2 linked regions of the Xenopus tropicalis genome follow. The protein of the gene in region 2 purifies or fractionates together with the protein of the main gene of each other region. This does not show direct contact. Links are inferred from orthologs where the notes say so. Each region holds a gene or a part of one and is shown on either strand. Other genes may lie near its edges.

Region 1 (3,516 bases), on a different chromosome or scaffold from region 2:
ATGCGCAGAACTGGACTGACTACTTCCTTCTTATTCACTTGCATTGCAGTAAGTGGAGTAAGTCCTTAGTGGTCTCAGACATTGTGTACAAGGTGCAAGAACTTTTCAGCTTGGGAGAGACAGCCAATATGTTATCAGAGTGATCCCAATTACAGATATAGAAAGCTTAGTAAGCAGCTGTTTGCCAAAATGATTAAGAATGAATCAGGACCTTGGCTAGTGTGCCTACTATTGTGCTTCTATGGTCGGTCATGAATTTCTGTGCTTTCAAAAATTTCCCCTTCCATGTACTTTGGGGCACCATTGTAGCTGGCCGCTTTTTTTTTTTTTTTTTTATTAAATGCATTGTTCCATTTTGGAAAGTTTGTGGATACCCAGCAATATGTCACATCTGGCTTCAGTTCTAACACAGGGCATCTATGCAGACAAGGCACATTCATGGTGGAGACTTCTACAGCTTACTCAGTCTGTTACTTTTTTCTATTAGTTGCACTACTATTTCCAAGGACAACAGTAAGGCACTGCAAAAAAAATCATGGTAGATACCCAGCCACAACCCAGAAAGCCCAGGCAACAAAAGTAAAGTGATGGCTAGGTGAAGTCTAAGCAATGCAAATACACCTTAAGGAATGCAGAAATCGCCCCCAATTGCAATCTTAACCCATCTTCAAAATCAGGTCATAGAGTAGGCCACACTGGACTAGAAAAGGAGATCTTTGTATAACTTACCATTAAATCTCTTTCTCTCTAAGCTCCTGGTTAAGCTCCTCCCTCCAGGGTGCAGGACACTCAAGAAACAAAAACTCCTCCTCCATTCCCTATATACCTCTTGCTTAACCTCTTCTGTTACATCCTTGGGGGACACAGGAACTAGGCATGCACTGAATCCACTTTTTCGGATTCGGCTGAATCCCCAAATCCTTTGTAAAGGATTTGGCCGAATACCGAACTGAATCCTATTTAGCATATTCTTATTAGGTTTTGGAAGGGTTAAATGATAAATGTAGAGGGTTAAATTTAAAAAAAAAATTCAACTTCCATGTTTTATGTGACAAAAAGTCACATGATTTTTTGGATTCGGTTCGGCCAGGAGCGTGGATTCGGCCGAATCCCGAATTCAGGAATCTCTGAAACCTACCAAAGCAGTCCCTCAGGAACCAGGGAGGGAAACAAACCGGTACCACAGTAGTCAGTCACAACTACAGCCTGAAGAACCTTCCTACTAAAACTGGCTTTGGAGGAGGAAAAAACATCAAAACAATAGAATTTTCTAAACGTATGAATAGAGGACTATGTGGCTGTTCTGCACAGCAGCTCTGCAGAAGCATTGTTTCTCCACGCCCAAGAGGCGCTTAGGGTCTTGGTCGAGTGAGCTTTGATCTACTCCTGTGGGAAGCCACATATGCTTGATGGATAGTCTTTGTAATTCACTGAGACATTGTAGTCTTAGTAGCAGCTGTCCCTCTCCTTGGACCCACAGGGATCACAAATGCCTTAATGAGTAAGTTCTTAGTATTTTAAGTCTCTGACTATAATTGGCTGAACCACTTTAGGTAGAAATGATGGAGCTTTTTTCTGTACCACTTTGTCCCTGTGAAATACCCATCAGGGGCAACTGACAGAAAGCTCAGTTTAGAAACCCTTTTTGCAGACACTACAGCCAACAGAAAGACAACCTTCCGTGTCAATAATTCCAAATTGACCAAAGCCATTGTTTCAAATGGCTGTTCCTGCAAGGCTCTAAGTACCGAATTCAGGTTCTCTAGTTCCCTAATCAGAAATTCCGGCACTGACCATCAGTCTGAGGACTTTAATGCAAAATCTGACTAAAGGTGGCCATACACGCACCGATATTATCGTACGAAACCTCGTTTCGTATGATAATCGGTGCGTGTATGGTATGTCGGCGAGTCGACCGATATCGCAGGAAGCTGCTGATATCGGACGACTCGCCGATCGGACCAGTTTGAAAATTTTGATCGGGCGCCATAGAAGGCGCCTGACCAAAATTCTCCCTTCAGAGCTGAATCGGCAGAAGGAGGTAGAAATCCTATTGTTTCTACCTCCTTACCTGCCGATTCAGCCCTGAATGGTGTGTGGCGGATCTTACGATGTTTCGTGCGACCGATGGTCGTACGAAACATCGTCAGATCGCCACGTGTATGGCCACCTTTAAGGTGCTTGTTTCTGAAGATAAGATACCATGTCCCACCCATGCTTGCCTGTCCTCTGGAAGTGTCATTGGTTTTTTTGTGTTGAACACCAATCCGAGAAACTTGCATGACCTGGCTGGGAAGAAGCGAAGACTTCCATCTGTTGATCTGCCACCCAAAATTGTGTAGGGTCTCTATACAGACCATGGTCCTAACCTCCTGCTCAAGGACACTGAAAAACTGAGTAGGAGGCATTAACAAGGGATATATATGGAAGGGGAGGAGGAGTTTTTAGTTTTTTGTCTGTGTCCTGCCTCTGGTGGGAGCGTAACCAGTTGTCCCTGTGTCCCCCATATGAGAAAATATATTTTGGTCTGGTCCATGTAGCCAAGAAAGTATGACTTGTACAGGCATTTCCCATTCAGCCTAAACTGGGGACAAGAAGGAGCCAACCCATATATTAGAAGAGTTGAGAGCTTTTGTCCTGCGTTTAGGGGTTTAGTCTTTTGCACTGACAGTTCAGTTCAAGGTAAGTCCAAGAACCCCTTTGTTCTGTTAAAGGTATTATGGCAATACATTTTTGTATCCCAGATTTAAGATTCAAACAAATACCATCTGTTATGTAAGCAGTGTATAGTAGTAATGAATACTGTACCTGTGGCTTATTTGCAGGTGATTGAAAACCTGGATTCTCTGCGAGAACTCGACAGTCTTTTTCTTGGTAAAAATAAAATCACTAAACTCCAGAATTTGGAAACTCTGACAAACCTTACTGTTCTGAGTGTGCAGGTAAGCCATTTCCACAATCTGCAGGCTTCAGTGTGGGCTTAGTTATGTGAACTGACAGTTAATGCTTTTTTCATCACTGCTTTTTTTTTTTTTTTTACCATGCATTTTTCTTGTTTTTTTTGTCTGCTGGGGTCAGTGACCCCCAATTGAAAGTAGAAAAGAAGAAGGCGGTGTAACCTCTATTTCAGCTCAATAGCTGCTTTCCCGGACTAGTATCAGTAGAACATGGGTTACACTGTACCCTCTTACCCAGAATGGGCCTTCGCTAAGTGGAAGAGGAAGGTGAGGGTGTTGTGCAACTACACCTCTCTTGCTGCTATGCAGAAAAATTAAACCAGAGGGCGCCAGAGGTTCTTGCAAATAACAAAGTAATAAGTATTTATTGAACATCCACAGGGTTTACTCACAATACAGCTTCAGAGGGCAGTGGTACAGGCAACACATACCGAGTGTATATTCAGACTAACACTCCCCTGCGGGCAGACTGGCAGGAATCTCCCTTCACCTCTGCGACACACCCCGTAGTGGATCCCTCAGGGAATTCTCTATCCTGATTCCCTATTCACTTGGATCC
Region 2 (4,313 bases):
GGAACTACATGTCCCAGAGTCCATCACTTCACTCTGGAATGAGGCGAGGGAGGAGTTGCAGGACACTGCAATGGGCAATGCCTAGAGGTGGCCATATATACGGGCCGATTCTAGCTGCCGATATGGGTCCCTTAGACCGATTCAGCAGCTAATCAGCCCGTGTATGGGCACTACCGACGGGTCTGCCTGACTGATATCTGGCCTGAAATTCTAAGATTAGCAGACAATGGAAAGGAATAACGACTCTGCTGACTTTGTGAAAATCTGTTTTGTTTTTTTACCTGTTTATTAGAATATAAAAACCAAGAAAAGATTTCAGCGGCCAAACGCAAGGTGGAAACTGGAGGTTCCGAGAGGCCCTAGGGCCAAACGATTGAATTAACCCGATATTGGGCACCTTAGATGGGAATATCAGGAGAAGAGCCACTTGTTTGGGGAGGTGTATGGCCACCCTTTAGGTATATCTGTTTAAAAACAAACAAACATATATTCCTATGTTTATGTACCTTGTTCCATGTGTAAAGAATGGGGACATATTTCCCCTTTAATGGCTTTAAGGATTGGAAGGAATGTTTATATGAATAGAAACAATTCCCACCAGGTAACTTACTGCCAGTTAGTCCAGCAAAACACCATCAGTTCCCCACAATAAACTGAACCATTAACCCCCTGTGTGCCAGCTTCTCTCCCAGTGCCAGGCCTGCCCAATGTGTGATATTATGGCACTTTGTGGGTCAATGTTACCTCAGCTCTGGGCAGGTAGGGGAAATTACCCACAATGCATTGCCTTACAGACAGGGCAGATAATGAGCGATCACTGCCATGTGAGGGGCAATAGATTGAGAGCTTGTAGCCCAGGAACTGCAGGGGGAGGGGCTAACATGTAGTACAGTTGGGGCACATGTATTACTCCTTATGGGTGAAGCTACTAGTGGGTGCATGGCTACAGGCCCAGGGGCCATATCACATTACAATGGCCAAACTTCATTTATTGTATGTGGCTGGGCGCCATATTCCATCTGTTGTGAGTAAATTGCCCTGTCACGCCGCTCAGCGAGTTGACTGACAGTCGGCCAACCTCAGAATTTGTTTCTCTTTTGTGCGGCTTCTTCCTGGTGACACGCCCCCTTTTCCGTTTTTTGACCAATCCCAGTCGGCCAGACGCGCAGTTGCTAGGAGTTAGTAGGACAGACGCGGTAGGCTCCTTCATTGCAGTGCGCCTTCATCTTTACGGACCAATCAGAAGCGGCGGCCGGGTAGGACGCTAGAGGCGTGGCCTATATCCCATCATTCCTTGCTCATCACCCGTCAGTTCTGGGCCCCGCTGATTGGTTGCAGTATTAAGACGCAAGCGCAGACGGCGGACAGTGATGCTGCACTTTACCCTCCTGTGTGTGTAAGCCCCGCCCAGCCGCCGGCGCTCCTCCTCCTTTCCCTCGGTCAGTCACACAGTGAAAGCGAGAGAACGGACAGCGGGGCAGCGAGCGGAGCAGCGAGAGGGAACAGCGGGACTCACAGGCGGGACGGGACCGAAACACCTGATAAGCGGCAGGAACCGAGCGCTCAGTTTCTCCTTACCGGCAGCGGAGCGGCACAGGCCGGACACCGAGCATGGCTTCCGGATCCGAGTGAGTTACCGGGGAGCGGGCTGAGGGGGGTCTGTGGGTGCCGGTGGGACGCCGCCGCCGGGAGCTCCGCCCATTGGCTGGCACAGCGGGACCCGGGGTGTGCGGCCTACTGCGGCCTCCTCATCCTGCTGTGTCATGCACCCCTCACAGCGGCACCTACCGGCAGGACTACAACTCCCAGCATTCCCTGCCAACAGCCGGCCCCAGTGTTATCTGCTGGGAATGGTACCCTGCCTGCCGGGACTGACCTACAGGAAACCTGCCGGGAGAGCCTTGTCTTTTCCAGTGGGTCACCTCTGGCTGCCTTGGGGGATGCTGGGAGTTGTAGTCCAACATCAGGATTAGGGTGCCCTGCCTCTAATATCATCATGTCTGGGGCCCTAGCTGCCCTGGGGGATGCTGGGAATTGTAGGCCACTAGCAGCATGGGTTTATACTGTATGACATTAGTGGGGTACAGGGAGTCTGCAGTAGTACCAGGCCTTGTACAGTGGCTGATCTCCAGCTGCTGTGGGGGATGCTGGGAATTGTAGTCCAACATCAGGATTAGGGTGCCCTGCCTCTAATATCATCATGTCTGGGGCCCTAGCTGCCTTGGGGGATGCTGGGAGTTGTAGTCCAACATCTGGATTAGGATCCCCTGCCTCTAATATCATGTCTGGGGCCCTAGCTGCCTTGGGGGATGCTGGGAATTGTAGTCCAACATCAGGATTAGGGTGCCCTGCCTCTAATATCATCATGACTGGGGCCCTAGCTGCCTTGGGGGATGCTGGGAGTTGTAGTCCAACATCAGGATTAGGGTGCCCTGCCTCTAATATCATGCTTGGGGCCCTAGCCGCCTTGGGGGATGCTGGGAGTTGTAGTCCAACATCAGGATTAGGGTGCCCTGCCTCTAATATCATGCTTGGGGCCCTAGCCGCCTTGGGGGATGCTGGGAGTTGTAGTCCAACATCAGGATTAGGGTGCCCTGCCTCTAATATCATGCTTGGGGCCCTAGCCGCCTTGGGGGATGCTGGGAATTGTAGTCCAACATCAGGATTAGGGTGCCCTGCCTCTAATATCATGTCTGGGGCCCTAGCTGCCTTGGGGGATGCTGGGAATTGTAGTCCAACATCAGGATTAGGGTGCCCTGCCTCTAATATCATCATGACTGGGGCCCTAGCTGCCTTGGGGGATGCTGGGAGTTGTAGTCCAACATCAGGATTAGGGTGCCCTGCCTCTAATATCATGCTTGGGGCCCTAGCCGCCTTGGGGGATGCTGGGAGTTGTAGTCCAACATCAGGATTAGGGTGCCCTGCCTCTAATATCATGCTTGGGGCCCTAGCTGCCTTGGGGGATGCTGGGAGTTGTAGTCCAACATCAGGATTAGGGTGCCCTGCCTCTAATATCATGTCTGGGGGCACTAGCCGCCTTGGGGGATGCTGGGAGTTGTAGGCCACTAGCAGCATGGGTTTATACTGTATGACATTAGTGGGGTACAGGGAGCCTGTAGTAGTACCAGGCCTTGTACAGTGGCTGATCTCCAGCTGCTGTGGGGGATGCTGGGAGTTGTAGTCCAGTCACCGTATCTAGTTGAACGCTGGTTGCTATAGAGAACCTGACATTGGCAACACAGGGTACCCTTTGGGTATAATAGGAGCCATAGCTGGGCATGAGGGTGGGTATCCATGGAAACCTGCCAGAAATGAGGCAACTTGCCGGGAACTCTTATTGGCCCTTTGTCTGCATCCCAATCTGAGCTATGGCTGATGTACCCTATCAAATATGTATAACCCTGCCCATTTGGGCCGCTGGCACACTGCCTGGGTGTGAGTATGTGCCTGTGGCCCAGTGCCAAGGTGCCAGTGGAACTGCTTTATGATGCTGGCACCGGTGCCCACAGCTGCTGGCACTCACAGCATAGAGAGGGGCCGTGCCACCTCATCCTAATCACTGGCCAGTTAGTGGGGTTTGGGCAGGACCTACCCCTGCCATTACAATGGTACGTTCCAGAACAGGCAGTGCAGAGAGATACACCAGGGTTATACCAACTGCAGCTGGGGGGGTTATATCTGTGTGCCCATGCCTATTGGCTGACCCTCGGGCCCCCATGTGCTCTGGGCCTGCTCCCTGCTGGGTCCCTGCGCTTTGCCCAATGAATGGTTCTCCCCTGTCAGCACAAATGCCCCTGCCCCCAGAGGGAACGGCCATGCTAAGCTTTCCTGCCCCTCGTGAGAGAAGCCCCCCCCCCGCACTACAGTCTGACCTTCTGGATCCCCAGCGCCCACCTACCTACCTGCCCCTGGGCTCTTGGGGTGCTCTCCTCCCCTTCTGCTCCACATTTATATAAATCTCTATACATTTGCCCAAACCTGCCCAATATTATATGGAGTAGCCCCCCCATCCCCCCTCCTTGTCCCAACTCTCTTTATAACCGGTGCCAAGCGATACCCTTAGCAACCTGGGTGTTATTATCCCCCCCCCTGAGGTGAGAAGTGGAACTGCAGGAGACTGGAGGAGCCCCACACACACTTGGCTGATAGTGATACCCCATTGGGAGATGCTGATGTATCCAGGATCCCGTACCCTGTGGGTAAATGGCATCTGTGCCCGCTAATTGGCAGGAAATAGGGCTGTACTTCTGGTTCTGACTCTTCAAACAATGTAGCCCTTCCCCAGTTCTGCAGCTGGATTCTGCTACATAGTT

The links. Proteins that work in one complex are often made in the same cells at the same time.
Region 1: the proteins of vcp (region 2) and ppp1r7 purify together in Homo sapiens (affinity purification with mass spectrometry; 3 studies listed by BioGRID and IntAct, with this or other methods). This does not show direct contact. The link is inferred for Xenopus tropicalis from reciprocal best matches to the Homo sapiens genes VCP and PPP1R7.

The regions. Positions count from the first base shown.
Region 1 is NC_030681.2:125,946,466-125,949,981, reverse strand, and holds part of ppp1r7 (protein phosphatase 1 regulatory subunit 7), read left to right. Parts: intron 1-2,825; coding exon 2,826-2,942; intron 2,943-3,516. UniProt on the Homo sapiens protein: Regulatory subunit of protein phosphatase 1.
Region 2 is NC_030677.2:212,825,769-212,830,081, reverse strand, and holds the start of vcp (transitional endoplasmic reticulum ATPase), read left to right. Parts: upstream 1-1,498; 5' UTR 1,499-1,611; coding exon 1,612-1,628; intron 1,629-4,313. UniProt on the Homo sapiens protein: Necessary for the fragmentation of Golgi stacks during mitosis and for their reassembly after mitosis. Involved in the formation of the transitional endoplasmic reticulum (tER).